Nothobranchius furzeri: one gene and its partner. The protein of the gene in region 2 interacts with the protein of the main gene of each other region in a pairwise test. Links are inferred from orthologs where the notes say so. Each region holds a gene or a part of one and is shown on either strand. Other genes may lie near its edges. The genes, in order: sfmbt1 and zcchc10.

Region 1 (16,136 bases), on a different chromosome or scaffold from region 2:
TTGGTCAGAAGCCGAGCACAGGCGTTCTGAACCACCTGTAGACGGTTCAGGGAGCTTCTACCCAGACACGTGAAAAGAGAGTTACAGTAGTCTAAGCGTGAGGAGATGAAGGTGTGGATAACTGTCTCAAGTTCAGAGCGGGACAGAATGGGACTCAGCTTAGCAATGTTTCTGAGATGGAAGAAGGAATAGCGAACAAGAGAACTGACATGAGAATCCAGGGTGAGAGCTGGGTCAAAGGTCACACCAAGATTCCTGACGGAAGGTTTGGTGTGAGAAGCAAGCTGACCAAGAGAGTCTCTTACTTTGGGAAACAGCTTGTCCAGGGCACAGATGAGGATCTCAGTCTTATCTTCATTCAGCTGTAGAAAGCTCCCAGCCATCCAGGTTTTGATAGAGTCTAAGCAGCGCTCAAAAAGATAAGAGGAGAACCACTCCAGAGCAGATCCTGATAGGCCTACCCAGTCTCTCAGCCTCTCCAGTAGCAGGTGATGGTCAACAGTGACAAAAGCTGCAGTCAGGTCCAGCAGGACCAGAACAGAACAGTCCCCTGCATCACTGTGAGTCAGAAGGTCATTAGAGACCCTAAGAAGAGCTGTTTCAGTAGAATGAGCTCTACGAAAACCTGACTGTTAGCAGTCACAGATGTTATGTTCATGTGAGCTGTTTAGCCACAACCTTTTCCAAGATCTTGGAGATGAATGGAAGTTTAGAGATGGGTCTGAAGCTGCTATGGAGAGAGGTGTCAAGACTCGGTTTTTAAGAAGCGGGTGGATTACAGCATTCTTAAAGTAAGCAGGGACCTGGCCAGAAACCAGAGAAGCATTAATTATAGAGAGCACGCTGGGACCGATGGACTGAAAAGCACTTTTAAACAAAGATGAGGGTAAGATGTCGAGGGGGCATGCAGAGGTCTTCATAGAGTTAACTAGTTTGGTTAACTCAGGCAAAGAAACAGGAGCAAAGCTATCTAGGATGATGGGCCTGGTTGGAGCCGGGAGAGGCAGCGATAAGGCTGAAGGAGAGATGCTCGATCTAACCTTACTGACTTTGTCCACAAAGGAAGACAAAGTTCTCACAGTCTGCAACAGAGTGGATGGAGGCTGTAGGAGAGGCAAGAGAGACAATGCTGCTGATGGTGTTAAACAGCACCTTGGGGTTCCCTTTGCTCTGGGACACCAGGCTGGAGAAATAGGAAACCCTCGTGTATCTGACTGCAGAGTTAAAGGATGTCAGAAGATCCTTTAGGTGCAGCAGATGGACGTGGAGATGGGTTTTCTTCCACAAGCGTCTCACCTTTATGTTAATATTGTTTTATTTGATGCACTCCACTTTGAACTGCACCAATCCAGCAACTGCTATATTTTAATAACTAGTATTAAAGGTGAATACACCAATATTTGCACAAGAATAATTTCTGTTTTAAACTCTCAGTGACACACTTTGCAGGGGGATTTGGCATTTAATTTTTCTTGGCGTCTGGAAAAACATCTCCTTCTGCCCCCCTTTATTTGACTTTCTGCCCCCTTTATTTTGGCCCAAGATCATTACTGGGCTGGCCCTATTAAAAATGTTCTACACCCCCTGCTTAGTAGACTTAATGAAGTATTTTTAAGCCAGTATAAAAATGACTGAAACACAAATTTACATATTTGGCATTATTGACCAATATCTTTTATTTAATTTATTTGTTAAGAACATCAAGATGCATTACAGTGAACATTATAATAAAGTAAATGTTTCTAGTGCAGAGTGGAGACAACCCATAGAAGCACTGATTTGATCTCATTTCAGAGAAAAATAGAACAGGTCAGATGCACCTAATAAATAAAATTACTAACAAACTCAGGAATCTGTTTCTTTGCTTCATTGTTCTGGTGCTGAAAATTTCACTAATGCGGATCAAAGGACATACACAGATGAATGCACCTCTTATTATTTGGAAATTAGTGGGTGTGGTTTACATCAATACATTATTTTAAATCTGAAATTGATACGGATTGATCAGAAGTTGTTTATTTATAAACTATTGTTTATTTGAAAACTATTTACAGAGCAGCCTCAGAATTGAGATGAAATATTTTTGATCACAATAGTAACTATTACAGAACAAGTTTCAGTAAAATCAGAACATTATTATTTAAGTGCATGAATTAATGCATCTGAACTCATGCTGTAGGAACTAGGAAATATGAAATACTAGAACCAGACACAACTTTTTATTTTAATTTGATTAAACAGATTTTTTTCCTAACGTTGTTGGCATTTTTCCCACACACAGTTAAACAAAACAATGTTGATTAAGGTGTGTGTGTGTGAGAGAGAGAGTTAAAATAATTTTAAAAACCCGACCGGAGCGGAGGCAGTGACCGACACATGCACGAGCCGTTTTCAGCTCTGTCTTGTCAAATGCACCATGTAAATTACGAAAAAGGTAACTTTAAATATTGAACTGAAAAACAGGCAAGCTGAAGAAAACGTAGGGAGTACTGAAGAAATGTGAGAGACAGTGAAGCAAGCACAGAGAGATCCGTTACTGTGTGTGTGTACGCGTGGATGCCTGGGCCGAACTGACTGAGCTCCCGGAGGGGCGGGCGCTCTATGACTGGCCAATCACAGAGCATGAAGACAGTCAGTTATCCAATGAGGATTTTCCTTCACCACGATTACAGATGTTTACGAGTTTTACACTCGTTTCATGCTCGTATTCGTCAATAACGCTTCATCCGTACGCTCATCCCTAGCTGCAACCACCCTGCCCTGCCTCCTCCTCCTTGCTGCCTGCCGGCTGTGATCACAAGCAACAACAGAGTAGTTCCCGCTGCTTCTTCGGGAAATGGCGCAAAAAAAAAAATCAATAAATCTTGGGATCTTGTAGGCGTGGCGGTGGGATTTCAGCCGTGGCGGGCCGCCACGGCTACGCCTATGTAAGGGAAACACTGCTAACTGAAACAAGATGGAAAAAATATATCAGTCCAGTTTTACTTATCAGACCATATTGATATGTTCAAAAATGATTGGCCAATACCAATATTGATGCTGAAATATCGTGCATCCCTAGCCAGATGGTGGTTCTTTCCTCCTGATGGATGGATTCAAAGTTCGCCGACCTTACAGCCCTTTTTCCTCTGCTTCAATCAATTTGGTGATCCTGGATATACAAACCCTAAAATAACCTTCTGCCCTGCTCGAAAATAAGCGCTTTCTTGGCATCAAAACACATCTTTAAATTCACGGATATTAGGGCTGCAACAACGAATCGATGAATTCGATGAAAATCGATTACTAAAAGCGTTGGCAACGAATTGCGTCATCGATTCGTTGTGTCGCACAACTCTTCCAAAAGCGCCCCCCCCATCCCCCACCCCCTTCCCGCCCGCCGTTGCACGCAGACCAGAGCAAGTCAGATCAGCGCGAGGGAGAGCCGCAGATCAGCGCGAGGGAGAGCCGGTACCAGCAGATCAGCGCGAGGGAGAGCCTGCAGACTTGCGCTGCTGCGAACCGGTTCCGCATTGTTGCACAGCGATCCAGGCAGCTGCTTCCAGCGCACGGTCCATTCTCAAAGTGGCGCAACCAAAAAACTATAATTAGCACACGATCGTTCTTGTCTGCACATGTTCTCTATTTTCTGTCTTATTTGTGCCTGAAGCGCTCTGCTGCGGAGCTCATCACCTGTGCTGTGGTGATTTCACCTCACGCAGCATCGAAAACGAGCTCTCCGCTTTGCGGTCAGGAGATCTCTTTGATCTGCTCAAAAGTAACTGATGAGGTGAAAAAGTAAGAATCCAGGCAACAGATTTTCTGGAGAATTATGAGGAGATGCAGGAAGATGAGAGACAGACAGGACAGGAAAATAGTTAAATAAAAACAAGAAAACAAAGTAAAATGTAGGTAGATTTATCTCCACTACACGTTTTTACCAGTAAAAAACAATAAGTTATACACATGTCATATTTATACATCTGATACAATTCAGATCACCTTCAAAACTCAGTCACACACCCAGGGCCGTTTCAAGACATTTTGGGGGCCAAGGCAAAATGTCCCCCCCCCCCCCATAACTGGGCTCCCCAGAAGCCTCTGTGTAATTCATACCCTCTCCAGTAGTGTTAGTTATACAGTGTTTGTAAAAGCCCCTCAGACATTACTGACATGTTCTAATATATCAGATGAAAAACTAAATTATCAGACATGCTGTCTCATCTGCTTCTTTTCTAAACTTGCAAAAAGTAACAAAACCATTTGAAAGCCACTATTTGTGGATTATCTGAAAGTTTCCATGGAGTGTGTGACAACTTATTTTTTTCATTGATCCTATCGTCTAATCTCACAGCTGAAACAAGCATCCTTAATAATCTGTGCACAGGAAGCTTACCGATGCTGTAGTAAAACAAAAGGTATAATAATTTATTATTAATAAAACCTTGTTGCAGCACTAAAGCATAAAAATGAGCTTTTGCATTAAATATGCAAAATATTTACATATGAATTGTTTTAGAGCCCTTTTATTGGCAGAATCTGATATTAATTTAGTTCTTACAAAAAATGGGTCCCAACATGGTTTGTGTGGTGTTGCCATAGTGTGACGTCATAGGCACAGATCCCCTGTCCTCTTGTTTGGAAATGGAAATATGATCACCCTACATTAAACAAACTGTCCACCCGGGCTTTTGCGCTGCACAGAGACGCTTCGCTGCCTATGACTCTGAACGTCAGTTGAGAGTCAGTCTCATGCAGACTGACCAATGAAGAGAGGGCCTCAAGTTAAGACCCTCTCCTCATTGGTCAGTCCACACGAGGTGGGTCAAAGGTTACCCTGGGCGGGTTACGTGTTGTCAGGCATTCAAGTATTGAGTATATTTACTGCATATTACAGTAAAATATTCTGTATGTGACCACATTATGGTGATCCTCGGGTCGTGATGATGGAGCCCTTGAATATTGTTGCCCAGGGTACAACAAAGTGTTAATCAGGACCTGGTTCCGCCGTCACATTCCCGCAGAAACTGGTTGATCACACCGGGGCCAGACTACTAGCATGTGGTTTTACAACCACAATGTCCTCGGAAGCAAAAACGCTTTTAAAAGGGAGGGAGGAGTCCTAACTGTTGCTGCAGGCGTGTTGTGTGAGAGTGCAGTTATATACTGGTTAATATATTTTTGGGTTCAGTTGCTTTCATGTGGCCTAATGTGAGTCTATTTGGGATCATTGGAATGATCAACAGCATTTCTTGATGTGACTTTATGGCAGTTGCCCAGGGCATCATTGCAAGGAGGATGGCATTCATTTACTTTTGTTTTATTTGGTATTTTTTCAGTCATTTTTGGAAATAGTGATCAATTTTGATTAATTCACAGCCTATGTTTAATTACATTTAAAATAAATGTCAACAGATGAGATCAAACAAAACAGATGAGAATTGCCCTTAAGCTGTTTAACTTGGACCAAGCATTTTAGGTCACAGATAGATGTAGCTTAGGGTCTCTGTCTATACACCTTATAAGACAATTTAGGTGATGGCATGTTGTTTTTCTGCTATTGAACTGTTTTCTAATAATGTTGTGTTAAATAAAGTGAAGGAAGGAGAGAAATAACGTTTCCCTAGCAGTTTTTAAAAATTTCCCCATGTAATCCGATTAATCGATTAATCGTGTCGAGACCCCATCCGATTAATCGATTATCCAAATAATCGTTTGTTGCAGCCCTAACGGATATCATATTTATCTATGACACATAACAAACGGGATTAGAAAATTGTGTTTTTAGCCTTTTTAACTTGCATTCATTTTTCCTTCTTCCAGGGGAACCATGGTCTGGAAGTAGATGGCTTAGGCTCCCGATACGGCTCTACTTAAAAATGCAGCATCTAGGCTAATTCTCTGTTTCATTAACAAACATTTTTGTTTATTATAAAACAACTCAACTCTGACACCTGCTGATAGGGATGTAAGAAAATATCGATACAGAAATATTAAGATATATTTGGCTATGATACAGAATTTAGTTTTTTTTAGCTATGATACTGAATTTAGTTTTATTTTATATGTAAGCATGTACTGTATTTCTTTAATAGGGTGAATTTCATAATTTCTAGGTGGCAGCAGATTTTACCATTTTCATTCAGACGCAACAATGGGATAACACCAGATGTGTCTTGAGTTTTCCAATTAAATTCGGTCTTAAAAATTGCACATATATATACACACTGCATCATCTCCACTGTATTTTGATATTAAACAAATTACCAGATTCTTGCCAATACACACCCCTACAGGCTACCATAACAGTTTTTCTTTGTTTTATTAAATGTTGTTGCTCACTACAAAAAAACTAAAGTCTGCCACCTGCTGATGTAAACTGTTAACTGAAGTCACCTAAAATTTTTGATCTCTGGAAATTTTGAACTTTACATAATCAGAAGTTTTTTTGCTTTCAAACCAACTCTACCTGTTATTATAGTCTATATTTGTGAATGTATAAAAAATACATTAAAAAGTATGAGAGTGGAAAACTGCCAAAGCAATCAAAGTCCATGATAAACAATGGTGCTCTGCAGAAATCACATGCTCTTATTGTGATGAGCCACATCATGTGATTTTGCATCTAAAGAAGTAAAATAAAAGCAGCATTCCCCAATTTGCTGAGTTATTTTACCATTATTAATCAAGTAGCCCTATGCTCTGTTTAGACTTGCTCAGAAATTAAATTCATGTGTTTCCAAAAAATTTACATAAAATTCAAGCAAGTTTAAAGGTTGAGTCATTTAAAAGAGAAATGAGACAATAAAGTAATAAACACCCTCTCAGCTCATAGGAAGATTTAAATAACTTCCTCCGCTGCATTAATGTGAACACTGAAAATGTTTGAAAGATCAAATCAAATAAGATCCGTCTCAGTGGATCATGGTGATTCACCCCATTAACACACACACACACACACACACACACACACACACACACACACACACACACACACACACACACACACACACTTGTATTTATATGTTCGTGTGGACATCAATTCATTTCCCATTAATTGTGCCTAACCATAAACAGTGGGGTTCTATTCCTAACCCTAACCAAAAGTTAATTCACACCATACCAGTTTAAGGGTGCAGCATTGTGCGGACCAGCAAGATTTCCCCACAATGTGGAAATGTCCACGTTACTGGTTTGTTAAGATTTGTCCACTTAAACATATGAAGACAAGTACACACACAGACACCTTTAAAAGAGAAGTCAGTGAATTGCTCCGTGCACTTGCAGGTCGCTGCTGCCGCCTCTGCGCAGCGGAACGTCAACCCGAGCAGCGCGCGGAGCAGTCAGTGGTCGGATCACTCAAGTTGCACAATAGGGAAGTTAAAGAAGGGCCAGATGAATAAAAAAGCTGCATCGAGTCAACGCGGGGGAAACATGGCAACTGATTAAACCCGGCAAAGCATCGTCAGCTTGATAAACACCTGAGTTTTGTGAGTGTTTAGTGGCGTTTATGTGAACGCTGCTGACTGACAAACACATCGGATGAGGTCGTGCAACCTTCATTATGTAAGGCTTCGGCATGGTGAAAAAACACTGAGTTGTTCAAGGATAAATAACTGGAAATTTCCACACAATCCTTGAACTGTGTCTGGTTAAAGATTGCGCTGCATTCACACACACATTCACGCAGAGGGAGAGAGAGAGAAAGAGAGATGGGCCATGAAAGGCTTTGCAGAGACACTACAGCGCTAACTTTCACAATGAGCACAACGCCGAATTAAAAATGTCCCCTAGCGAATAAAAACCACTAACATTAGCCTGCGAGGGACATGCACGACTGTTTGGACACATGGCTGGACCGCCTGTGTCCGAGTCAAGTTACTGAACGTCACGGCTTGAGCAATAAGGAGCAAAGCTGTGGCGAGCAATAAGGGCGCTTACACTAGACCGAAGCAGACTCATCTTTTTGAGAGACGGGAAAAAAGACGAACGCGACGCAACGGTGCAAAACACCGCGAGGAATTCCTACCAAACACCACAAAGTACGTGAATATTTAGTCACAAAATTCCAACCTTACCGCTAAGTAGTTTTTACAAGTCGATTTTTGATGCCGTTCCTCTCCGCCTGCTCGCTCGCAGAAACTGTCAATCATTAGGTAAATGCCTAACTTCCGGGTTGACATTTCAAAATAAGACGCATACGCGGCCACGGCTTTCGTGAAAGTAAAGCATGGGGCTTTTATCGCGAAAGGGTTTAATCGCAGCTTTTCCGGATTGGCTCCAGCGGCGTCATGTTAGCTTGACGCACTTTTCTTTCGCGACCTCATTCCAATATGGCACAAGTGTCCACTGCGCATGTTCTGCCGCCTGTATGCCTCTGAGCCTGGCTTCATCATCATACTGACTTCCATTTACAACACACACACACACACACACACACACACACACACACACACACACACACACACACACACACACACACACAATTTAATACGAAAACATAAAAGAAAACAAAGAGGCTGATGGTTTAGCTGATGATTTATTCACACATCCTGGGTTGTTTTTTTAATATCCTCTCTTGAATCAAGAGATAGTTAATGGTTTATTAAAAGCAGATAATCGACTCATTTTCTTACTAGTGGCGTTTTGACCAGTAAAACCAACGCAGAGGTTGTTTAAAAATAGCAAGTTGCTTTATTCCCATTTTTTCAAGAACATCTTGAGAAGGAAAAAGAAACAGTAGAGGTGTGTTTTAAATGAAGACTTACTTTAAAAAGAAAATGTTACATCACAATGACGCCCGATTTTAGCGACCAAAAGCACATTTTGTCATCATCGCTCAAGGTGCTGCACATCATGTCACCGGTTTCCTCTCCCTTCTGGACGGGAGGGCGGGAGAAACTGCTGGAAATGTGCTCTGACAGTGTGAGCGCAGTGCTCAAAGTCCACGTAAAATACCCGAGTCCTCCATCAAATAAGTGTCTTTCTGGTGTGTAAAAATCCTCTCTTATAGCATCTGAAAGCCGAAGCACTCATTCCGACCGGATGAAGGCTGCTGCCGCCAATAATCCTCCTCCCTTTTGCCCGTTCTGACAAAAGAAAACCCCATTTCTGAACATGGGCAGGTCGAAACAAACAAAGAAGTGCTGAGCCAACCCGAAACAGGTTTTTCATACGATGTTGCGCGAGACACTCAAATGGCAATTAATATAAAAAAATGTGAATTTAACAACAGTTTGTTCAATGGAATTATTGCAAAGCCGTAAAAATGGCGAGGATTCAAATTAGAAAATTGGGAAGCATTTAAACCACGTGTTTTACCTAAAATGTTGATTATAAAGCATTCTACACATTTAAAACAGATCGACTTTGATGTCGCATCGGGTAGAACTGCATTTCTGCATGAAATACGAACAAATGCCTTAAACACATGTTTGTGCTCGAGTGTAACCAGTTTCTCGTTTTTTCCCCTCCAAACATCCCATCAGTGAAAGAGGTTCAGCTGCAGAGGAAGAGGACAAGTCAGAAGGCGTGCGTGCGCTTGCACGAGACAAGGAAGATGCATTTTATGACCTTGACCACTAGGTGGTAACACACCACCACAACTATTTCAATTTGAGCTATAATTCAACAAACATAAAAACTGAGTGTAAAATATAAAATCTGCTTAAATACCAAAACATTTCATTGTATCTACAAACCCTTACAAACATCAGTTGTACTGAGTTTACAAGCACATTTATTCAGTTATTTGTAAAAGACAAATAGTAAAAAATAAAAAAGTATACCCATAACTTACAGACAATATTAATTTTCTGTATTCATCTTTGATTTTCATGAATTCTGGCATTAACTACTGTAACATACATGACATAATACAATCAGTTTGTACAATGAAAATGCCCCTCCAAGTATAAATGATTAATGCCCCACACTTGTATAGCGCCTCTCAGAGTAAGGACTTCAAAGAGCTTTACACTACAGTGCATCATTCATCCATTTACACACATTCACACACTGATAGTGATGAGCTACGATGTAGCCACAGCAGCCCAGGGGCACACTGACAGAGACGAATATATATATGTATATGTATATATATATATATATATATATATATATATATATATATATATATATATATATATATGAGATATCCTTCATCACATTCAAGTGTAGTATTTAACAAGCCAATTCTCCTTCCAACAGTCTGATGGGAGAATGAATAGAAACATGCTTCAGCTTAACACAGATTATTGGACAAAGTTGGTGAACTGGAGTTGAATGCACAATTCCACATCTGGTGGCTGATTTCTCTTACTTTTACACCACCAAGGCCCCAGATTCAACAGATTCAGATTTCTCTTAAAACATCTTGATATTCTAATAAACTTTAAGTTCATGATTCTTGAAAATAAAAATGCAGATAGATTTGTTATTGATAGCATGGATTAGTACTTGGCAATAACGAGTTCACAGACTGACAAACTATTGGATTTTATATTACTGCTCATGATGCATTTGCAAGCCAAAAGAAAACGAGAATAAGACTTTATTTCCAACAGCAGATTTTTGGTGCATTTCTAACTTAGCAATTAAAATATTACATGAACACATTTCTAAAACTCTACACAGAGGAATGCACTTTTCAGTAAAAGTACCACAATTTAAATACTTTCACTCAAAGTGGATTTAAAATTCACCTTTATGTTATTCTACAATGGCTGGACCATTCTTCAACTGACTACGTTACTGGCTACAAGAGAATAATTTGCATCTAAAAAGTATCCATACACACACACCCCTATGCTTTGTAAAAGCAAGTGGCACCACACTGTGCACAAAGGCACACACTAGAGAGAGGACAGAGTCAGAGTGTACCATTTGTGCCTTAGCTTACATGTGTGATGCTTGGTTTTTACAGCAGTATCGTCTGACAAATAAAAAGGTTTCACACTTGTGCCGGTGTATTAAAATCTTATGATACAGTTAACTGAATGATTCATACAGAGCCAAAAGAGTGCTCATACGGGGAAAAATGATGAAAAGTATCCAAAAATAAGCTAAATACATTGTTTATTGTCCTCCCTGCAGCATTAATAGATTCTCTTACCTCTCAGAAGCTTTATTCCGCTTCACCTGTTTGGTCTGGTCGCTGAGACAAGACCATCTCTTGAATTTTCAGCAAACTTCTTGGCATAATTTTATCGTCTTCTAACCCAGAAAGTGTGCTAAAGTCAGGCTCAAAGCCAGTCGACCCTTCACCAAATAAAAATGAAAACAGAATAAAATAAGAGTCTATTTAAATGTGCCGAGTGAAAACTGTGTTTCAGCTTTTTTTTCAATTGCTGATCATGTTTTCCAGTTTGGGGTTGATGAAGGAAAAGCCTTTGAATGCATTCTGGTCCATAGTGTCAATGAGCTTTTTGTCTCCGAAGGAGAGGCGAGGCTTCTCATTGAGGAACTCGCGGTCAAAATTGCTGCAGTCCCCTGGGGATTTCTGTAAGCAGTTGAGGGAATTCAGTTAGTTGAATGTTTCTCACTAAAGTTGTGATGCAGTCAGATAAAAACATACCACTTTGGGCTTGAAAGGAGGATTCACTTGTCTCTTCTCCAGCAATGTCCAGTTGATGACTTTGAAGAAGGGATGCTCGCGGATGTTACCCACTACACCCAGCCTTTTGCTGGGCTCTCGTATAAACAACTGACAAGACGACAGAAGAAAACAGAATTATTTACAAGAACAGTTCAAAGTCTCTAATGCTTGAAATATGACTACAACTCGAAATTTCACCTGTTCAAGCAGGTTTTTGGACTCCTTGTTGAGCCACCGAGGGTAATCTGGGTTGTCTGTCCTGATGGCTTCGAACAGCTCATCCTCATCATCACCTTGAAATGGTGACTGACCAACCAGCATCTCAAAAACTAGCACACCGAATGACCACCAGTCCACTGAGAACGAGTACTTCTGTCCAAGCAAGATCTGAGAAAACAGTTCCTAAAAGTCAGAGGTGTGTAAAACAGAAAAACAAGAAACCCAGAGGAACCCTTTGTTCTGAATTAGCGATGCACATGCATGTAGGAATACTGGCAAAGGCTCCAAATACAGCAAGAATCAAAGACGACAATAACCAGACTGTCAGACGTACCTCTGGGGCAATGTAGTCTGGTGTCCCACAAAATGTACTGGCTTTTTCTGTTGCAGTGATCTTCTCTTTGCACATGCCAAAATCAGCTATTTTAATGTGTCCATCTTTGTCCAGCATTATGTTGTCCAGCTTCAAATCTCTGAAAAGACAAAGAAAACTCATTTAAAAGATTAAAATAAAATGAAGTTGCAGCCTATTGCACTAGTTGAGCACTGCCTATTACCTGTAGATGACTCCCTTGGAGTGGAGGAACTGTAAACCCACGATTATCTCAGCAGCGTAGAAGCTAAAGGTAGAATGAAAACAGATAAAACAGATTTACTCAACACAACTCATTTGTGGAAAAGAACTGCTCCCTGTGTACTCACGTAGCTCTGGCCACTTCGAAGCGGCCTTTCTCTTGAATGTGAAACATCAAGTCGCCTCCATTTAAGTACTCCATTACAAAGAAGAGGTGCTCCTGTGGAAACAAGATACGACTGTCAAGACACAAACCAGACATGAATGCATTCACATCCAGTGGGAAGGTAAGGGTCTGACTATTTATCAAACAGAAGGGAAATTTCTTCCTCCCTGCTGATAGTTTATTCCCCGTTAGAGAAAATCAAGAGAAATAGAAACAGTGATGTGTTTTATCAGCAGACAGTTTAGTGCAGACATTCTAACTTAATTCATTAGTTTATTTAACAGCCTCAAAATGTACAGGTTACCAAACATCCAGCAATCTTAATACAAGTAATTAAATTCTGGCAGATGACTATAATTAGTTTATAATTGGTAATAATTTGCAGTCAGAACTTAAAGTAGCATCTGAATCTTTGCTTCTACTAATTAATTTACACCAATTAATCTAATCAATAATGATGATAACAATAACAACACATTTGCTCTCTCTTAATCCAAGGATGCTTAAGCATTGCTATGAAAAAAGAAAGTTCAGGAATTCTAATTTAAATGAATTGCAGAGACTTTTAAAGAACATGGGTTCCATTTTTAATAAAATTTAATTTACTGTACATCATTTACAGACTAAAGTCTCATTGGTAAATGGCCTGTTACCTTCTAGGATTCTACAACCCCCCAAGGCACATAACACAATTAGTCATTCATCCACGCGCACACATTCATGCACTGGTGGCATTGAACTAACGTAGCTACAGCTACCTTGGGGCACACTGACAGAAGCGAGGTTGCCAAACACAGGCGTCACCGGTCCCTCCGACCACCACCAGCAGGCAAGGTGAGTTAAGCGTCCTGCCCAAGTGTACAATGACAGTGACGGACCAAGCGGGGCTCAAGCCTGCAAACCCTCTGATTACACTTAACTGTTTTGGTACCGTTGCCCCATTCATATATAACGAAGATGATGTTTGTGCAGTTTGGCTACACGTCCATGCCTGATAATAAGGGAGAAACATTATGTCCCTATGCTGCAAACACAGGTCCCCCACAAACTTAGGAGTGGTCAGGCATGTAAATACCAAACAGCATTCAGCGGGCTAATGGCAGACAACAATCTGCCCTTGTGAATTTTATTTGTATAAGAAGCAACAGAATTGTTATAAAAGTCAGTCTAAGGCAGTCATTAGATCCAAGGTAACGGTATTTGTTGGTTTCCATTTTAAGCTACACTCATGTCAAGTTAATCAAACACAAAACAGCCTTGATTTGTTCAAAGTTAATCGAAATGATTAATCCTGCTCAGTTTAATACAGTTGTGCACAGCACTGTTACCAGAAGCGTATTTTCTGTGTCCGCTTACTTTAGACTGGAATGTGGAGTAAAGGTGGGTGAGGAAAGGGTTCTCCCAAGCCAGAGACAGGACTCTCTTCTCCACCAAAGTGCACTCAACATCATCATCCATAAGAACCACATCCTTCTTCAGAACCTTCACAGCAAAGAACTGTCCCTTCCCCTTCAGCTCTGCCAGCATTACCTGGGGATGTCAGATGCAATATTGTGAGGAACACAAGAGAGCATATCAGCAGGACCACCTGACAATGATGATGAAAAGGATCAGAATTAGAGTTCTCTACTAAACAAAAAGAACGAGGGCTCATTACAGTGACTTTATGTTAAAGATGGGGTGTACCTTCCCAAAGCTGCCCTTTCCCAACACCTTGAGCAACTGCAAGTGGTCAAGGGTGAGGTGAAGATGACGAGTTGGAACAGGGGTGGGGCTCACTTCATTGCCCTCTGTTAATATATGTTTGCAATTGAGTAAATTAATATGCAAAGATGGAAATATTCATGCAAATTTAACAATTCTAGATGATGAAACTAAACACCACCGTGAGTGTGGAACTTAATAACTGACTGAAACTTTTACAAGCACAGCCGATGCTATTCTCTAGACGTCTTACCACTTGGTTTTGTAATGTCTTCTCTGTCTTGGTAGATCCCAACATCGGGTCCACTGGGTTCATCAGGTTTCTTAGCTTTCTAGGGTGGAAAAATAAACATTTGAATTTAATAGGCTAAATATTCATAAAAAAATTTTAAAACGCTCAAAGAATGCTGCTCCACTAACCATGGAGATCTGAGACAGAGCTTCAGCCATGAGTTTCTGGTTGATTCCACACAGATTGGCCACTTTTGATTGACACTGGCTATGAACGTTCATGCTGCACGCTAGTCAGCAGCATAAAGAATGCCCAGACACACAGAACATATAAAAAAACAATTTTGTTAGAAACAGCAGAAAGTAAATGAACATCAGAAACTCCACATGATAAAGAGCTGTGCGGGCTCACCATCACATTTAAGGCCTTGCCTGTAGAGACCCCAAAGCAGACTGCCACAGTGGTCACAGAACGTGGGGCTCTTGTAGTTGTAGTACTTGAAGCGATGTGGCACGTCGAGCTTGAAACGCTCCTTTTGGAACTGCATGCACATAGAGGCAATTAAACCCACTGAAACATTTCATTTGTGTGTGCATAATCAATTTCCCTCTGGGATTAATAAAGTATTTTTGAATTGAATTGAATTTGCTTTAGAGTGAAGAGAATTTTTAGCAAGCTACACTTAAATTATTTTTGAAATAATGGAAAACCTCATTTTATCAGTTAAATAACTTTATGACTTTATGGGGTGGGGCACATGATGGTATTAGACCATGAACAATCTGAACATGCTGAAAATCCGCCAATTCAGACTGATCCTACTTATCTATACGCTACTCATTCTTTCAAAAAGGCCAAGAATGATGCATGTTTAGGAAATGTTTCTGCACGGACTGTTTTAGGTGTGACACACTCAGCCTGATCACTTTACTCTAGATTAAAAACAGTTTGTTTTTCCTACTAAATGTGCCATTTTATCTTTCTGTGGGGGTGATTTTAAAGGCAAATATGGTTTGGATTAATTGTTCAGTGACTTGATAACTAGGAAAATAATAAAATGGTAAAGGGCTTGTATTTGCATTTGGTATAATAAAACTTTGATTTATTTAAATCATCTTCTTGAAGGATCTGATAGAGTCAGCCATATCACACACCTCTTTAACAGCCATTGTTCAAGCCACAGATGGAAAAATAAATGATCAGATCTTGCATTTGTAACACCAAACAGACTTCAGTGTCAGATCTGTGGCTGACATTTTGCATGAGTGTTGTAGAACATTACATTTGCAGCTCACCATAGTTTCACGACTGTTGGTTGCTGTTCCAGTGCACCTGGCAATAACCATTTCCAGACATCTTTTGTGGATTGCAGCATTGCATTCTGGGCAAAGCAAAAAGTGAGATTGGGTGTTAAAAAGTTCTAAGCAACAGAACGTGAAAAATTATGTTTAATAAATTTAAGACGCCAACTAAAGAACCACTTACGCTTGCATTTGTAACCTTGCTTGTTGAGTCCCCTACATGAAACGAATAAAAATGTAAGATATCAAGGAAATAGGAATTTAGACACTCTCCACGTAAAACTGTCAACCATGTGTAGTGGACTCCATGTATTAGTAGTTTGCTAAAATCACATTCAAGTACTTCAAGCACTTTGTGGACTTTT
Region 2 (16,227 bases):
TGGTTCGTCACTAAGTTCATACTCAGAAAACCTTTTCTTGCATTTGCTGCCAGAGCCTGACTGTGGTTCATCACTAGAGCCTGACTGTGGTTCGTCACTAAGTTCGTACATGGAAAACCTTTTCTTGCATTTGCTGTCAGAGCCTGACTGTGGTTCGTCACTAAGTTCGTACATGGAAAACCTTTTCTTGCATTTGCTGTCAGAGCCTGACTGTGATTCGTCACTAGAGCCTGACTGTGGTTCGTCACTAAGTTCATACTCAGAAAACCTTTTCTTGCATTTGCTGCCAGAGCCTGACTGTGGTTCATCACTAGAGCCTGACTGTGATTCGTCACTAAGTTCGTACATGGAAAACCTTTTCTTGAATTTGCCGTCAGAGCCTGACTGTGATTCGTCACTAAGTTCGTACATGGAAAACCTTTTCTTGCATTTGCTGCCAGAGCCTGACTGTGGTTCTTTACTAAGTTTGCACTTGGAAAACCTTTTCTTGCATTTGCTGTCAGAGTCTGACTGTGGTTCTTTACTAATTTCTTCAGAAAACCTATTTTCACGTTCAAATGTAGAAGTCATTCCCTTTTTAAATAAGCTAAGTTTGTCATCTGAGTCTGACGAGCATGGAGCATCTTTTCTGACCACATCAGTGAATCCAAGATCTGGTATCAATAATTCTAAGTCTTTCAGTTTGTTAGCTTGATCTTTGGGAGAAATGTTCCCAGTTGAGATGGACATTGATGATTTGCTAATTTTTCTCACTCTGGGAGATGTGCAATCTGAATATGTCTTTGATAATGAATTTTTGGAGCCTGACATCTTATTATCAGCACTTATGTGCTTGATTTGTTCTTTAAGCTCCTCACATTCCTTCTGTAGCTTGTCTTTTTCTTCCTGGCTGCGTCGCTGCATTTCCTGGCTTATCAGGAGCTCTACGGTCAGGTCGTCCAACTTTTCTGCAGTGTCTGGCCTGAAATCTTGAAATGTTATGCTTTCAAGTTCTTCAATGTTTTCCTTCAACTGACATATTTCATCAATGTATTTCTTATTTTCGCTCTTTGAGTCAAATGCCAGCTGTGCCAGTTCTTTTTCGTGTTTCTGTCTGACCTCCTCGTGTCCCACCATAGTTTGAGCAAGTTTGTTCTGGCACTCTTGGATGGTGGATTCTTTTTTCTCCAAGGAGTCGGTTAGCTGTTTGATTTCCAGCTGCTGTCTCTTTGTTTCCTGCAGGTGAGATTCTTGCATGCCTTCATTCTTCTCTTTCTGTTTTTGGCATCTGTCTTTCAAAGAGTTAATTAAAGCCTGCAGTTCTTGATTTTTCTGCTTCAGCTCCTCAGAAAATCTCTCGGCACTAATTTTCTCACGCTCAACCTTTTCAATGTCTCCACTAAGGCTTGCGATTTTTTCATCGTACTGCGAACACTTGTCCTGAAGATCTGATACCTCTTTATGAAGAGCGGCTTCAGAGTTCTGCAACTCTTTGAATCTTTCCTTGTCTTTCAATTCCTGCAGTTTGATTTCCTCCTCATCATTTATTTTTGTTGTGTTTTTAATTCCACACCCCATTTCTAGAGTCCTCTCTTTCGTGTGACTCAAATCTGTCAAAGGTTCGTGGAGTTTGGGCGCGTACGCAGTCCTTTGTTTAAACACGGTCATGTCCTCACTTTCTTCAACGAGGTCCTTAATTCTTATCTCAAGGTGCTCGACTACGCTGAACCAGGTCTCTGTCTTGTCATTGTTAGCTCTAATTTGATTTTTCCACTTACAAAACTCTTCGAAGGCTGACTGTAGACGAAAAATGTCCGTTTTAAAGTTCCCCAGTTTGTTCCTAACCTGACTGACCAATTCGTCTTTTTCAACAACAGAAACGTTAGCTTGTTTTAGCTCCTTCTCTGTTTCTCGTGCTTTGTTTTTCGTGGTTTCCAGTTCTGTCTTCAGGGTTTCCACCTGTTCAAAGAGAGTGGAAAGTTCTCTGTCTTTTTGCGCAGCTGTGCTATGCTCTTTACTGAACTGTAAATTTTGCTCAATTTCTTTTGTATATGTCTTCAGTAGCTCATTTAGTCTGCTAATTTTATTTTCACTGTCGATAACTGCATTCTGTAAAGCGCTGATACAATTGCCACTAAACTGGACTGTATCTGATTGCGGAGCCGGTCGTGTTTCCTGGTAGGGCCAGGCGTGTTTTTGATCAAACTCACCCATAGCTGACTGCAGCTGTCGTCTTAAGTCACAGATGAGCTGGTCTTTATTTTTGACTAGCTTAGCATCAGCAGAGGCTATGAACCATTGAATTTCATTGGCCCCAGATTCAGCTGCGTTTTTCAACTTACAAACGTCAACAATCTTTTGGCTTCTTTCAGTCGTCACTTGACTCACAAATTTGTCATAACCGTTCAAAGTGCTCATCAAACTAGAAAATCGGTTTCTCATTACCTCAATATCCTGCTTGGTCTGGTCAAGACACATTCTCAACTCATGATTTTCTGCTTTGAGTTGATCAGTTTCCTTTTTCCATTTTCGTTGCAGATTTCTAGACATCTCATTCTGTCCCACTGAATAAATCGGTCTTTCTTGCATTGGATCACTTTCTATACCACGATAATATGGCACCTGTGTTTCACAATATCTGTCTTCTCTTTCAAGTTGCTTAGGGAAACATGTTTTTCCCAGAAACATGGTTTCATTACACTGTCTAAAATCCTCTTGTTTCTTGAAGTTTGATGTTGAGTTCATCATTTCCATTCTTGAGAACATTTTGTTTAAGCCCTAAGTCTCGATAAGTTAAACTAACAGCTTTTCCGGGTAGTATTGTTTCTTAAATCACACAACAGGGATAAGAAACTGATTTCGGAGTGATACTCTTAAGCAACAGAATGCAACTGAACTGGCTTCTCAAAGGTTCTGATAGGTCTGTGGTAGTGATGATGTCATCGCCCTTTGATATGTCATCATAACAACTAATCAAGAAGAAGGAGACAACTCTAGGCTCCGCCCACTTGTATCAGGTGACCTTGTTGCCATTATTATTATTCAATGGACATTAATGCAACTCGATCGGCTGCGTGCACCCCACTAATTATATATCAAAACGAGCGGCTTTGCCATGTGAGGTGTGCTAATATTTTTCTAAGCAGTTCGCCTTACGATGATGAAATATTTAGCAAAAAACATTGAAAGGTTTCAAATTTTTATGCTGTGCCACTCTAAATTAGCATAATGATTTCATTATGATCAATTAAATGTGTGCATAATTAATATGTTAATTAAATGGCAGGCCTTTTTAATTAATTAATTAATTAAATTGAGGCATTTTTACACATGCATGAATAAAAATTATTCTTTATTAATAGTTGGATTGTCACTTTTGACCCTTTTTTATTTACCTATATATTTATTCGTTCTTTTTTTATTATTTTATTTTGTTTATTTACTTTTGATCTTTATCGTCCTCTTGGGGAATTTTGTTGCATTGACACCTGTAGCTTTTTGGATTTTTTAAAATAAAAAAGCTCATTAATTTAAATCTTTCAAACAATATTTTTTGTTTGAATGTTATAATGATTATTGGCATTGATATTTTATTTATTTTTAAGTCAATATTAAAGATGGCATTTTTGGTGGGTGGAACTCAGCTTCAAATGCACTGTAGTCATGGTAACCAAGTAATCAGCATTCAAATATCAATTCTGTAAGAAAAGTAATTGATCTACTTTGAATATTTAGCACAATTTATTCCTGTTGTGTGTTTTCCTGGGTACTTTGTCTTATTATTGCAATTTTTAAAACTTTTATACTTCTTTTATGTATAAAGTAGGGCAAAAAGTGTTTAGTCTGCCTCCAATTGTGCATGGTCACCCACTCAAAACGATGAGAGAGGCCTGTAATTTTCATCACAAGAATATCTGAACCACAAGAAACAAAATGAGAAAAGAAAAACTATAAAATCACATTGTCTGATTTGTTTTGGATCTATTGGCAACTTATGGTGAAATATAAGTATTTGGTCAATAGCAAAAGTCCATCTTAATACTTTGTTTACAACCTTTGTTGGCAATGACAGAGGTCAAATGTTTTCTGTATGTCTTCACAAGGATTCCACACACTGTTGCTGGTATTTTGGCCCATTTCTCCTTGTGGAGCTCCCCTAGAGCAGTGATGTTTTGGGGCTGACGTTGGGCAAAACGGACTTTTAACTCCCTCCAAAGATTTTCTATAGGGGTGAGATCTGGAGACTATGAGCCACTTCAGGACCTTGAAAGGCTTCTTATGACACCACTCCCTTGTAACCTAAGCAGTGTGTTTATGATCTTTATGATGTTTTAAAAACCCAGCTTCAATGCCCTTGCTGATTGAAGGAGGTTTTCACTCAAAATCTGATCATAAATGGCCCCATGTCCTTTACATGGATCAGTCATCTTGGTCTCTTTGCAGAAAAACAGACCCAAACATTCTCATGCTGGATGCTGTTGAGTAAACATCTGTCTGTAGCATGAAGCTGCCGTTCCGGAGCTGCCTTTAAGTGTGGGAACGGCAGAAGAGAATAGCTCTGTGTGTGTGCCTGTTCTCCGCATCGGAGCTCTTGCCCTGGCGAGCAGACAGCTGCTCAGGGGAGAAATTGGTGTGTGTGTGTGTGTGTGTGTGTGTGTGTGTGTGTGTGTGTGTGTGTGTGTGTGTGTGTGTGTGTGTGTGGCACAAGATTATGAGGACACACACAGCAAATTAATAAAATAATGTGGTTCAGAGTCTACAAAAGGAACACGGCTCATGCCCACCTTTTGTTTACCTTATGGAGCATATTAAGCGCCGCACACAGGCTCGGGGATTTCCGCATTCCTGAGAAGTCCCTCTGATTTCCTTAACACTACACCACCTGTTCGAGACCGAACTCATGCCATCCAGCCCGACCAAACCCCGACCATGCCAACGCTAATGTGTAAGCGCCATTATACTGATAACGAGTTCCAACAGGTGCCATTAATACAGGTAACGCGTGGAGGACAAGGAGCCTTCAGATCTGTGAGAGTCAGAAATCTTGCTTGTTTGTAGGAAACCAAACAGTAATTTTCCACAATTATTTTCATTTAAATTCTGTAAAAATCAGACAATGTGAATTTCTGGATATTTTTCTCATTTTGTCTCTCATGGTTGAGGTATACCTATGATGAAAATTACAGGCCACTCATCTTTTTAACTGGGAGAACTTGCACAACTGGAGGCTTTTCCCCATTGCTGCTTGCACCAATACCACTAGGTATTCTGTCTTCTTTTAACTTCATATGTTTTTTGTCATTATATCATTACTTGTGTTGTTGTTTGCGCCAGGGATGTGAAGAAACAGTTTTGACATTAAAGTGGAATTAAGTGAATTGGGAAGCAGAGCAGATCTCAGGATTCTCTTGTAGAACCAGCTTTCATTCATGATGCAGATGCTGTCCAGAACAAAAATAGGTCTGTTAGTCACAGTTATTCTGACTCATCCCTTCAGACCTAGACTTCTGGGAGAAAAACTGAACGCACATCTCCCTCTACATTTGCATTTAAAGCTATATGCCATTCAACTTTGTTTTCTCTGTTTAGCTTCTATAGAAACAACAACTTACCCAGCCTGTATCTCTTTCATGGGTGTTGCACCAGATGTTGCCTTGGTGACTCTGTAGGCCAGATGTAGACTCAAATTACAATATTTCAGCACTCATGGATAAAACATTTTGCTTCACATTTAAACCCTGTCTCCATCTATGACTCAACATGAAACACCATTGACTCATGTGATCAGTTACATAACGCTGTGTGTGCATCGTGCCAGCATCACACCAGCATCATGTCTGCACGCATGTAAATAAGAGTCACCAAAGAACATCTGTAGATCCATCATCAGGACCAAGTCCTAAATGATGAAGTCAATTAAATTGTGTTTAATTCAGTTTATTTATATGGCATCAAATTACAAGAAGAGTCGTCTCAAGGCACTTCACAAAGTAAACATTCTAAAGCGGTTCAGTTCATTAAGCCAATCAGTAAAAAGTTTCCTATATAAGGAACCTAGCAAATTGCATGGAGTCACTGACTGGTGTCAGTGACTTTACAGCAATCCTCATACTAAGCAAGTAGCGACAGTGGAAAACTCCCTTTTAACAAGAAAAACTTCCAGAGGATCCTGGCTCAGTAGGAATTGCCATCCGCCACGACTCACTGAGGATCGAGGAAACAGAGCAGACACCCCCCACACATACCAGGAAAAGTGCTCTTTATTTATTTATTTAGGACAGTGCATGTTAATGAACATAAATGTAAATGCAGCTTACATGAATGTAAACATGCCAGATTATAGCCAAAGGCTAATTTCCATCTGTTGTCCTTAGACATAAAAAGACATAATGATTCATGAAAATTCATCATTCATTCATAATCAAAACTCCATCACCAAACCTACGCCATTCTATTCACAAATAAAACATCAAAACTATACAACTCGTACATGATCACACACTTGATTTGTCCATAACCAGTTTTTAACATTTGCCTTTAAACAAATTGAAAGTCGAGCATTCTCTAACGGGTTGAGTGCCTGTTAAATAGTGACAGGCACCAAAGTAAAATGGTAAATGGCCTGTATTTGACATAGCACCTTCTAGAGTCCTGGAACCTCCCAAGGAGCTTGTTGTGGCCACCAGCCTGGCCTCTTCAGGTGCAGGAGCCAGGATCACCCAGCCTCGGTGATCAGCCAGGCACCGCCCCTCTTCCTCCTTTCTTCCAGGCTGCTGAGGAGCACAGCTGAGCTAAATCATCTGGTGACCTACACCTGGGATAAAAAGGCCGTGCCTTCAGCAGTCTGGGAGGCAGCAGTGCAGGGGCTAAGCTGTTATTCATGCCTCATTTTGGTTTCAACCCCTTCATTTTGATGAGTCTTAATTTTAATAGTTTTAACTCTGAGTGATCCAAAGGGATCTTTGTTTGATGTCAACTTGGTTGACTTGGTTTTAAGGTTAACGTTGTAGTTTACTGACTTTGGGATTTTAAAACACTCAGTGTTTTTCTAGTGTGTCAGATTTTACTATCAACTTGAAGATTTTGGAAACACTTTCTGTTCAGTAAAACTTTTAATATAAGTTTTAACCAGGTGTTTTTAATGTTGGTAATTGGTCTTTTAGTGTTAACCTTTTTGAGAGTTTTTTTTTTGTTTGGCATTTTTTAAACAATGCTCACCATCTGTTTGCACTTGTTTTTAGAACCTTTTATAACAATTAAACCCATTTTAAACCCACTATCATGTTTCTTGTGTTCCCCTTCCTTCACATTTTAACACCTCCTGTCGGGGACGTAACAGTGCTTTACAACACAGTCATGCTCACCCTGGTCTGGTCGATGAGCTACATTCTAGCCACAGCTGCCCTGGGGTACACTGACAGAGGCGAGGCTGTCGAGCGCTGGCGCTACTGGTCCATCCGACCACCATCAGCAAGCAAGGGGGGTTAAGTATCTTGCCCATGGACACAACAACAGCGACAGACTGAGTGGGGCTTGAACCTGCAACCTTCCGATTATGGGACGAGCACTTAACTCCTGTGCCAGTGTCACCCCATACAAAGAGTAAATACGTAGACACCTCATGGGATGGCGCTGCCTATTGGAGCTGCCGAAGTGGCCGGCTGCCATCTTAGTCTCCATTCGGCACACTACCAGAGGCGAGTCTGCCTCTGTCAGTGTGTCTGTCAGTGTAATTAAACAAAATAAATAAACAAATACAAATCTAAAATCCTATCAGGTAGGCTAGAAAAGTCACTATAGTAATCCCACATGATCTATTTACAATTGTACGCGGGTTGTTGTAACCGTGGGATGCACAAAAACGGGCATAGTTGCGTACTCTGCATTGCCTTCGGAGAATGAAGAGACCCATCCAAAATGGCGACGACACGGGTGGTTACGTATTCTTTTCACTCCTTTACATTTCCGGAAATAGGCCCTGAGCTGACACCAACGAAGAAGAGACTTCAAACATGGCGACTCCCATGCATAGAATAATAGCGAGAAGACAAGCGTGAGTAAAACATTTTTAAACTTAGCGTAGCAATATTATTTTAGTATATTTTGTGTCTACATTTGTTACGTTACCACGTGCGGTCTATAGCTGACCTACAGTTTTACATTCAGCCTGTAAAGAACGAACTTGGAGGGACGGGCATCCCGCGGCTCTACGAAGCGCTACGTTGTGTGAAACTGTACTCTTCTGAAGCTGTTATTTATTTTTATAATACCCCAGTTTAAGTAAAAAATAATTTTGTTTACATCGATGTTAATGTCAATATAGTTATAACCAATAGTCGGATCAAAGTATTGAGAAGAATCGGGACTTGGGCAGAGTTTTGATAATTTGTGATTATTGGTGGGGTTTCAGTTTCTTTGGTGGAACACCTGCGAGTTTCTGAGTTTAAAATGAAGTATTCATTACTAGTGTATTAATTATGAGATGGCTACATAAAGCTTCGTGTAGCTTCTCAACTATTTTCTTTGCCCAGAGGTTCACGTCTTCGATGCATCATTCATTGCTTATAGTGACACCTGCTGGTGGAGTTAAACTACGGCAGCCATCATTTTTTTCATAATTTATACTGGAATCATTTGTTCCATTCATTATTAATTTTAAGTAATCTGACAACAAATACATGTATGTGCAAATGTCTTACTTCTGTAGTTTATGTATTTTTTCCTGTTTGGAAGGTATTTATTTATTTTTATTGCTTACAGGGAGGCAAACAAACAAAATGTGCGTTGTCAGAAGTGCTTGGAGATGGGACACTGGACTTACGAGTGCACTGGGAAACGGAAATATTTGCACCGACCGTCAAGAACAACCGAAATGAAAAAGAAGCTGAAGGAGATAGAAAACAAACCTCTCAGCATCACAGGGTGAGTCATCTCTGACAGTTTGAAGGACAAGTCATTTACACCTGGACTTCATGTAGGGTTGGGCAATAAATCGAAAATGTATCGTTATTGAAATTTCTGACTCTTATCGATAAATGTTCCCATGTCATTAAATTTGATAATAAAAAAATGAAAAGATGTGTGTAGGTTGGCAAAATCCATGTCCCTTTAAGAAGCTGTGCAACCTTGAGTGACTTAAAAATTTGATTCAACGTAATACATGTGACAGCCCCATTTATGGACAACTTTTGTTTCTGCGCATACCAAGGTGAAATCCTCAATATATCGTGATATTGATTTTAGGCTAGATCGCCCAGCCTAACTGTGCATAAATAAACCCACAAAAAATGATAATTATAACTGAGAACTCAGTTTTTACAGTGAAATTAGATTTATAAATAATTCTTAAATTTTGACAGTGTTTCAAATGATCTCAAATAGAAGTTGAATTTGTTTAACTAAAATACATAAAAATACAAACAAATGATTTTATCAATAGTGACTGAACTATATATAATGTTGTGATTTTTCCACATCACAGACCTGGAGGAGAAGCTTCCAGTGAAAAGAAAACAAAAAAGAAGTAAGTAATCTGATAATTTACTAGGGATGTGTATTGGTGAAACTCTGATAATACGATACGTATCAAGATACAGGGGAGACAAATTCGATATATCACAATATATTGTGATACATTCAGCCAGATGATATTAGCATTTTTTTTTGACAGAATTTATTGTAGGGAAACTCAGTCCAGTCCAAACTGAAATGTAACATGTTCAATATAAGGTATCTTATAAAGAAGAAGAAAATATCATTTCTATAGCGCCTCTCAAGATAAAAATCACGAGGCGCTTCACAAAAACAAAAAATGTAAAAATATAAAAAATAATTTAGAAAATGGTTAAAAATATATTTAAAATGAGCAAAAAATAGACAATTGTGATTAAAAAAAATGTTAAGAAAGAGAGAGAGAGTGAATAGGAAAGAGGGAAATCAGTGCATCCTGAGGAAGGTGGAATAGAGAAAGGGATTTATATTTCAATGGTGGAAACAAAACCCATTGCACACTGCTGCTACCTAGTGGTCGGCGTTTGAATTGCACCAAAAGAAAAGAAAATACACAAATGTTTGCATGTAAATTCCATGTGGCTTTTAAAGATCGATACAATATTGCAGGAAAAAATATCACAATATATTGTCATATCGATATTTTCTTACATCCCTATAATTTACTATATTGAAATATTTTAAAGAAGTTTCATAGCTGTGGTGTGGTCATTTCTAGTCATTCATTTTTGGATGTAAAAGATTTTTTTATTCATAAAGATGATATTTTAATTCTTATGTTCATATTTCTCAACTTGTACCACTTTAAACAGAATTGTGACTTAACAGTTCCATCTAGTGGCAGTTGATGAGAAGTGAAACCATTTTCTTGGTTATTGTCTGTTTTTAGACAAGACTCTTAGTGAATTTACATTTGATTCTTGTTTCTTTTGTACTGTGATAGTAGAACAGCTTCACATTTTCCATCAGTTAAATTGTTGTTACAGATTAATTGGAAAGTCAATTAAAAAAGTAATTATAAAAAGATTTAAATGTATCTTAGCCTGTTTAACCCTAACGCCCCCCAATTGGGTGCCTCTACAGTTTCATGTCCCAAACATCTACAACTGTCCACGTTCTCCAAACACAACTAAAACCACAATCAAACAGCCCAGATGGGAAACAAGGCCATTTTAAATGGTAATAAATTAAGATACAACGATCTTTGAACTTTATTTTAGAAGAGCATCTGACCTTCTCTGGTGTCTGCTGGGAAAAAACCCTTGAACACATTTAGTTGAGGACCCTGGAATAAATAAAACAATTGACAACATTTCCTAAATGGAATTTGAACTCACAACCTCCATCCTGTCAGCACTTTCACACAGGGCAGCTCTTCTAACATACAGTTCAAGTATTATTTTATCTTAATGTATCAAAATCCAAAAATTACTTTGTTTACAATCTAAACAGTTTTGATAGTAGCTGTAGTTGTGCTCGGGGACTTGGGACATGGAACTCCAAAGGCCCCCAACTGGGAGGTGCCAGGGCCCAAAGAAAAAAGGCCTTGGGCCTAAAGGGTTAAAAACTGTTCAGTAAAAAGTACTTAAATTCAATTTTAATGTGTTTGCAATAAATGCTTTTTTTTTGTTGTTGCATCAACTGGTGTTTACATGTGTTTCAAATAAGCTATTATTGGCTAAAGAAGACACATAAATAAGGGTATTACTGCTAAATCTCCAATACATTTGTTTGAAAACATGTACTTTTGCAGAAAATCATCTCATATGATCTCAGAGACAGGACAGCTGCAAAGAACCAACATTTCAGACATTTTTTGTTATTTTACGAATGTGAAAATCTTTTTGTCACTATGTTTGTGCAAGATGACACCCACAGCTGCCTGTTTAACATTCCAGTAGATGTATCAATCAATCAATCAATCAAAGCTTTATTTATAAAGCGCCTTCCGCAACCCTGTCAGGAAGCCCAAAGCGCTGAACATGGTACAGTTGTAAGTAATTATACTGAATAAATCAACAATAAAAGAAATTCAAATTACAAAATACAAAATGGAAATAACAAAATAGATGAAACATTCCGGTAAAATACAAATGTGTGAAACACAATTGGATTGAGTGGATGGATTGAGTGTACCAATGAAAACTGTGGAATGGATTCAACATAATAGAGGGCCATAATCAAACATGTTCTGGAAACGCCAAGTGGAGGAGGTGTGTTTTTAGGTGATTCTTAAAGACTGGCAGAGAGGGGGACAGCCTAACTGAGGGTGGCAACTGGTTCCAGAGTAACGGTGCTAGGACTGAGAAAGCCCGGTCCCCACGGGTACGACACCTAGACCGAGGGACAGCAAGCAGGCCTTGGTCAGAGGAGCGCAGAGCGCGTGATGGGGAATGTCTGTTCAGGAGTGTGGCCAGATAGGGGGGAGCACCACCCTGGAAGAAATGATAAACAAAGACGAGGATTTTGAATTGTGAGCGATAGGAAATCGGAAGCCAGTGCAGGGAGGCCAGAACTGGACTGATGTGGTCCCGTTTCCTGGTCCCAGTCAGGAACCTGGCAGCGCTGTTCTGCACAACCTGTAGGCGACGCAGTGTTGACTGACACAACCCTGCAAACAGGTTTACATTTTACTGCTCCCATCCTGTTCTCTCCTTGTGCCGCGCTTTTAGGGCAAAAGACTCCAGCGACGACAGCAGCAATGCCGACGGCTCCTCCAGCGACTCGTCAGACAGCAGCGACTCCTCCAGCTCATCTTCAGACGATAGCAGCAGCGACAGCGACGACAGCTCCTCCTCATCTTCCTCCTCCACCTCTTCGTCATCAAACAGCTCAGACTCGGGAAGCAGCAGCGATTCAGATCAAGGGCCTCCAAAGAAGAAGAGAAAGAAGAAATGAGCATGCTGGGAAGAGTTGGCTTTCTGTTTGCATCTTATTTTTCTGCGTTATTTTCCCCAAAAAGTCCTCAAGTGTTTTATTTTTTTCAGCTGGTTTATAAGGTTTGATTTAGTTGGACAACGATGGCAGATGAACAAGAGGCTGGTTTAAGCTGTGTTGTTCTGTTTTTCTAACTTCTTGTCTCTGTTTTGTTGACTGTGGCATTTTCTCAAGTTTCTTAAAGTATTTGCAATTAAAGAGGAAACTTTTAAAAAACAAATAGAACCAATGCAATTGTTCGAATACTTTAATGTATATTTAAGCTAATCCATATAATCACAAATGTATGTAACAGCTGGTAAAGAAAGGGGAAATATTGTTCCTGTAAAGTTTGTTCCTGTAAAGTTATTTCATTTTAAATAAACTAATTTGTACTTATCAGGGCCTTTAGATTTTTGACAGCTTGTCAAATTTGGGATTTATAAATGAAATGAAATAATATCAGATCATGCCAGCTGATCTCCAGGCTGCAGTTTAATGTCTCCATTTTTAAAAAGACTAGAAGTAAAGTTTAGAAACAGATGGGTAGGTTGCTGAGGTCCGTCTGTGTTTGGTTGATCAAAAATATTTCCGCCTATGGTGATCAACATAAACTGTTCCTTTAAAAGGTGAGGCGTCAGAAAATTGTCTTGTCATTTAATCCAACTAATCTGAAATGAAATCCAACTAATCAGAAATGAACGAAGGGATTATGATGTTAAAATGACTGGGGCTTTGCTGCCCGGAGAAGTACAGAAATTGAGCATCGCAAAACTGTGTTTTGGAAAAAACTCATTTTTTACTCGTATTTTTAATCTTAAAATAAAACATAATGCAGTAAAATTGTTCGGTTAAAAGACAATCTATCAATAAACAAGCTGGGAACAATAAAACGTGCTCGGTTTTCTCCTGTACGTCAAACACGGGCAACCTTGCGTCACTGAAATGTTGCGTTCACTGTAGTAGGAATTCAAGAGCTCTCCATACACTACTGGTAATTTCTGTTTATTTTTTAATTAATACACATTTCACTAAAAAGCTATACATTTTTATTTAGTATGAACACCTTCATTCTTTAATACGATCTTAATTATTTTAACATTACAAAAAGCATATTTAAAAAAATCGGTTTTCTTTACGTAAATGGCGTAACCTCTTATTATTATTACTAATGTTGATATTGTTGTTGTTGCTAGAGGTACTTACTCGGGGTCCTTAGGTTTTTTGTAAGAATACTACACACTAACTACACGTTCAGTTCTTAGGTTTGACATTTTTCCATCAGCACGCGAAGGCGGCTCCTCTTGCTGTCTGTAGTACCTGCGGGCTGCGTAACTTAGCTATCAGCCACTTGTATTGAAGAGTAATACAATTCGCGAGAGATAAAATGGTTTGCTTTGTTTTCCACTCGATGTGCTGTCGCGTTTCAAAGAAAATATGAGGCGCATCTTTTTAGTTTTAGCATTTTAACTGTTAACAGCGTTTCGCCGAGTCCATTTTCTGCGTTGAACTGGAAGTGGAAAAAGACAAAGAGAAAAAGAGCTTTCCAACAGCTAGAATGGTTTGGGCCTAAAAGAAGACAAGAGGTGAGAATGCTCGCTGTCAGAAAACAACGTTACTTGTTGACCTCATGGTTGTTGTACATTACAGTCAGTGTTATTTAAAATTTCCGCAAAATTATAAGCTTCCGAAGCTAACTAGCCTAGCATGTAGACGCTAACGGTGAGATGCAGGTAGTCCTAAGGAAGCACATTAGCCTCATGCTAAATATTTTGAATACACGGTTGGACTTTGTGTCTTTTAGGAGTTCTGGAGCTGGGAAACGTTTTTTATATTGGTGACATTTGTGTCACCTTTAGTCCGTGCACGTTTACTAAACCTGCGAAAAGCCTCGCACTAGGGGTGAATTTGTTTTTGTTCCTGGGATGTTCTGACATCTGATATAAACTCAGAAACGTGGCTGACACCACTTAAAAACAGATAATACTCAAACAAATACGATGTTATGTAACATACAACGAGATCACTGGTGGTAAGTTTGCTGTAGAAATAAACAATCTGTTATGTAGTGTGAAACAAACGTTGCAAAATATACACAGGATAAACTAAACCATACTAGCAGTACACTTGTTTACTTCACATACCACAGTGTAGCCAGTCCACAACCCATGAGAGCGTAAGGCTCTTGTAAAGTGACAAACAAATAGTTTAAAGGTGCACCAAAGTCTATCAAAAGGTTGATGATGATGGGTTTTTTAGGAAGCCATTTTACATGTCATAGTTGGGGGAAGGGCCAGAAAATGCACCATAAGTCATTTAGTATTCCTCTGAAGAGTTAAAGATGATTACATGTTCAGGTTATATTAATGAGAGCTCTGGGGTGGCCCTAAGGTCACTGACCTCTGTCAGTCAGCTGTAAACTGGCACTGGTGGTACATAGAGCCTGTGGTTTGATCATGCAGTGTATTCTTAATGTGTCTTTTGTAGAGTGTTTTACATTAAAGTTGACATGATTAAACTAGAGAAAATGCTTGACCTTGAGAAGAGACTATAGCTAAAGGCTACTGGCCTAGTCGTCTAATTGAAGAAACTTAATTGCAGGTAGATAAAATAAACTGAAAATACCAGTCTAAGTAGAAAGAAAAAAGCATCGAGGTAAATGTGAGTACAAAATTAGAAGTGTTTGTTTAGCATTTTCTAATGCAGGGCAAAGCTTTCTGGAAGGGTCTCCTTGCTTTAGAAAAAGCCTTTCCCAAGATTAAAACATCAGCATCAGGTTTTCTCTTTAACTTAAAGTTTTAGGTAACATAAGCCATTTGTACAAACGGCTCGCTGGTGTTGTTGAGAGTTGAAACGCTGGACTGAGTGATGTCTGGGTGGAATAGTTTGCATTAGGGTAGCCACCGATTGCTGTGTGCTGACAAATGAACAAACTTGTTTTGGTTGCTCCCAGATGTCAGTTTTTTGTTTATATGAATACAGAGAAAACAAACAACTAACGTAAACAACATTAGTAATGTGTAACTGTGCTCCCAGTGACGCAGCTCGCTGCTGGAATCCGCTTCACTTCCTGTTTAGGGTTTTACCTAGAGGCTTTAGTTTAACTATTTCCCTGGTTGTCGAGGCACAGGGCAAATGCTCTGTCAAGATGTTCTGGTGACTCATTTATTTCAGACAGAGCTGAGAGTTTGTTGTCTTTGGCCTTGACTCGGCTAATGTACAATGCAGTCGTCCTACAGCGCCACTTTGCAGGCGGGATATTTCAGGAGCAATCCTGTGTCTGAATTACCTGCCAATGATTCAGAAAATCATACCTGAGTTAACAAAACATCGCTGTTTAGCCTTTTTTTAAACAATTTTCAGTCTTTCTGAATACTGAGCTCAATTGATAGAGAAATAAAAGAAAACATAGCAAGTCTTTTCAGAATCGACATTCCTACAGGCAGAAAAAGTGAACTGAGTCAGTAGCTAAAGGTATGTCGGTTTGTTATCGAATATTTTCAAAGAACAGCTTGTCATGAGTAGGTTGCTTGAAGTGCTCATTCCAGAGTCTGCCAGTTTAATTAGTCCAAAACTTAACGGACATCAGCCACTCTTTTCTTTAACTCTCTGTTCTGTTGCTCACACAGCAGAAACTATTGCCACTCATTGTGTCCTGACCTCACACATCTGTTCTGCTTTTGTTCTCTGCGACGAGAGTTAAGCTCTCATGTGGCTGAATGGTCCTGTGAAGGTGAAACTCATTAAGGCCTTTTCATTTCATAGGGCTACTGTGAAAAACCTTGTTCTTGCTTTAGAAATGGTGTGATAGCCATATGTTGG

The links.
Region 1: the proteins of zcchc10 (region 2) and sfmbt1 interact in binary tests that used the Homo sapiens proteins (3 or more experiments, as listed by UniProt). The two-hybrid records come from large-scale screens. The link is inferred for Nothobranchius furzeri from reciprocal best matches to the Homo sapiens genes ZCCHC10 and SFMBT1.

Annotation. Positions count from the first base shown.
Region 1 is NC_091743.1:58,014,795-58,030,930, reverse strand, and holds the start of sfmbt1 (scm-like with four MBT domains protein 1), read right to left. Parts: upstream 8,150-16,136; 5' UTR 8,058-8,149; intron 1-8,057. Other genes in the region: prkcdb (protein kinase C delta type), read right to left, coding at 11,321-11,479, 11,555-11,683, 11,774-11,962, 12,129-12,267, 12,352-12,414, 12,497-12,588, 13,891-14,064, 14,221-14,324 and 5 more. UniProt on the Homo sapiens protein: Histone-binding protein, which is part of various corepressor complexes. Mediates the recruitment of corepressor complexes to target genes, followed by chromatin compaction and repression of transcription.
Region 2 is NC_091750.1:56,820,002-56,836,228, forward strand, and holds zcchc10 (zinc finger CCHC domain-containing protein 10), read left to right. Parts: upstream 1-7,906; 5' UTR 7,907-7,991; coding exon 7,992-8,032; intron 8,033-8,739; coding exon 8,740-8,901; intron 8,902-9,460; coding exon 9,461-9,502; intron 9,503-12,161; coding exon 12,162-12,387; 3' UTR 12,388-12,804; downstream 12,805-16,227. Other genes in the region: golgin subfamily A member 6-like protein 25, read right to left, coding at 1-2,457.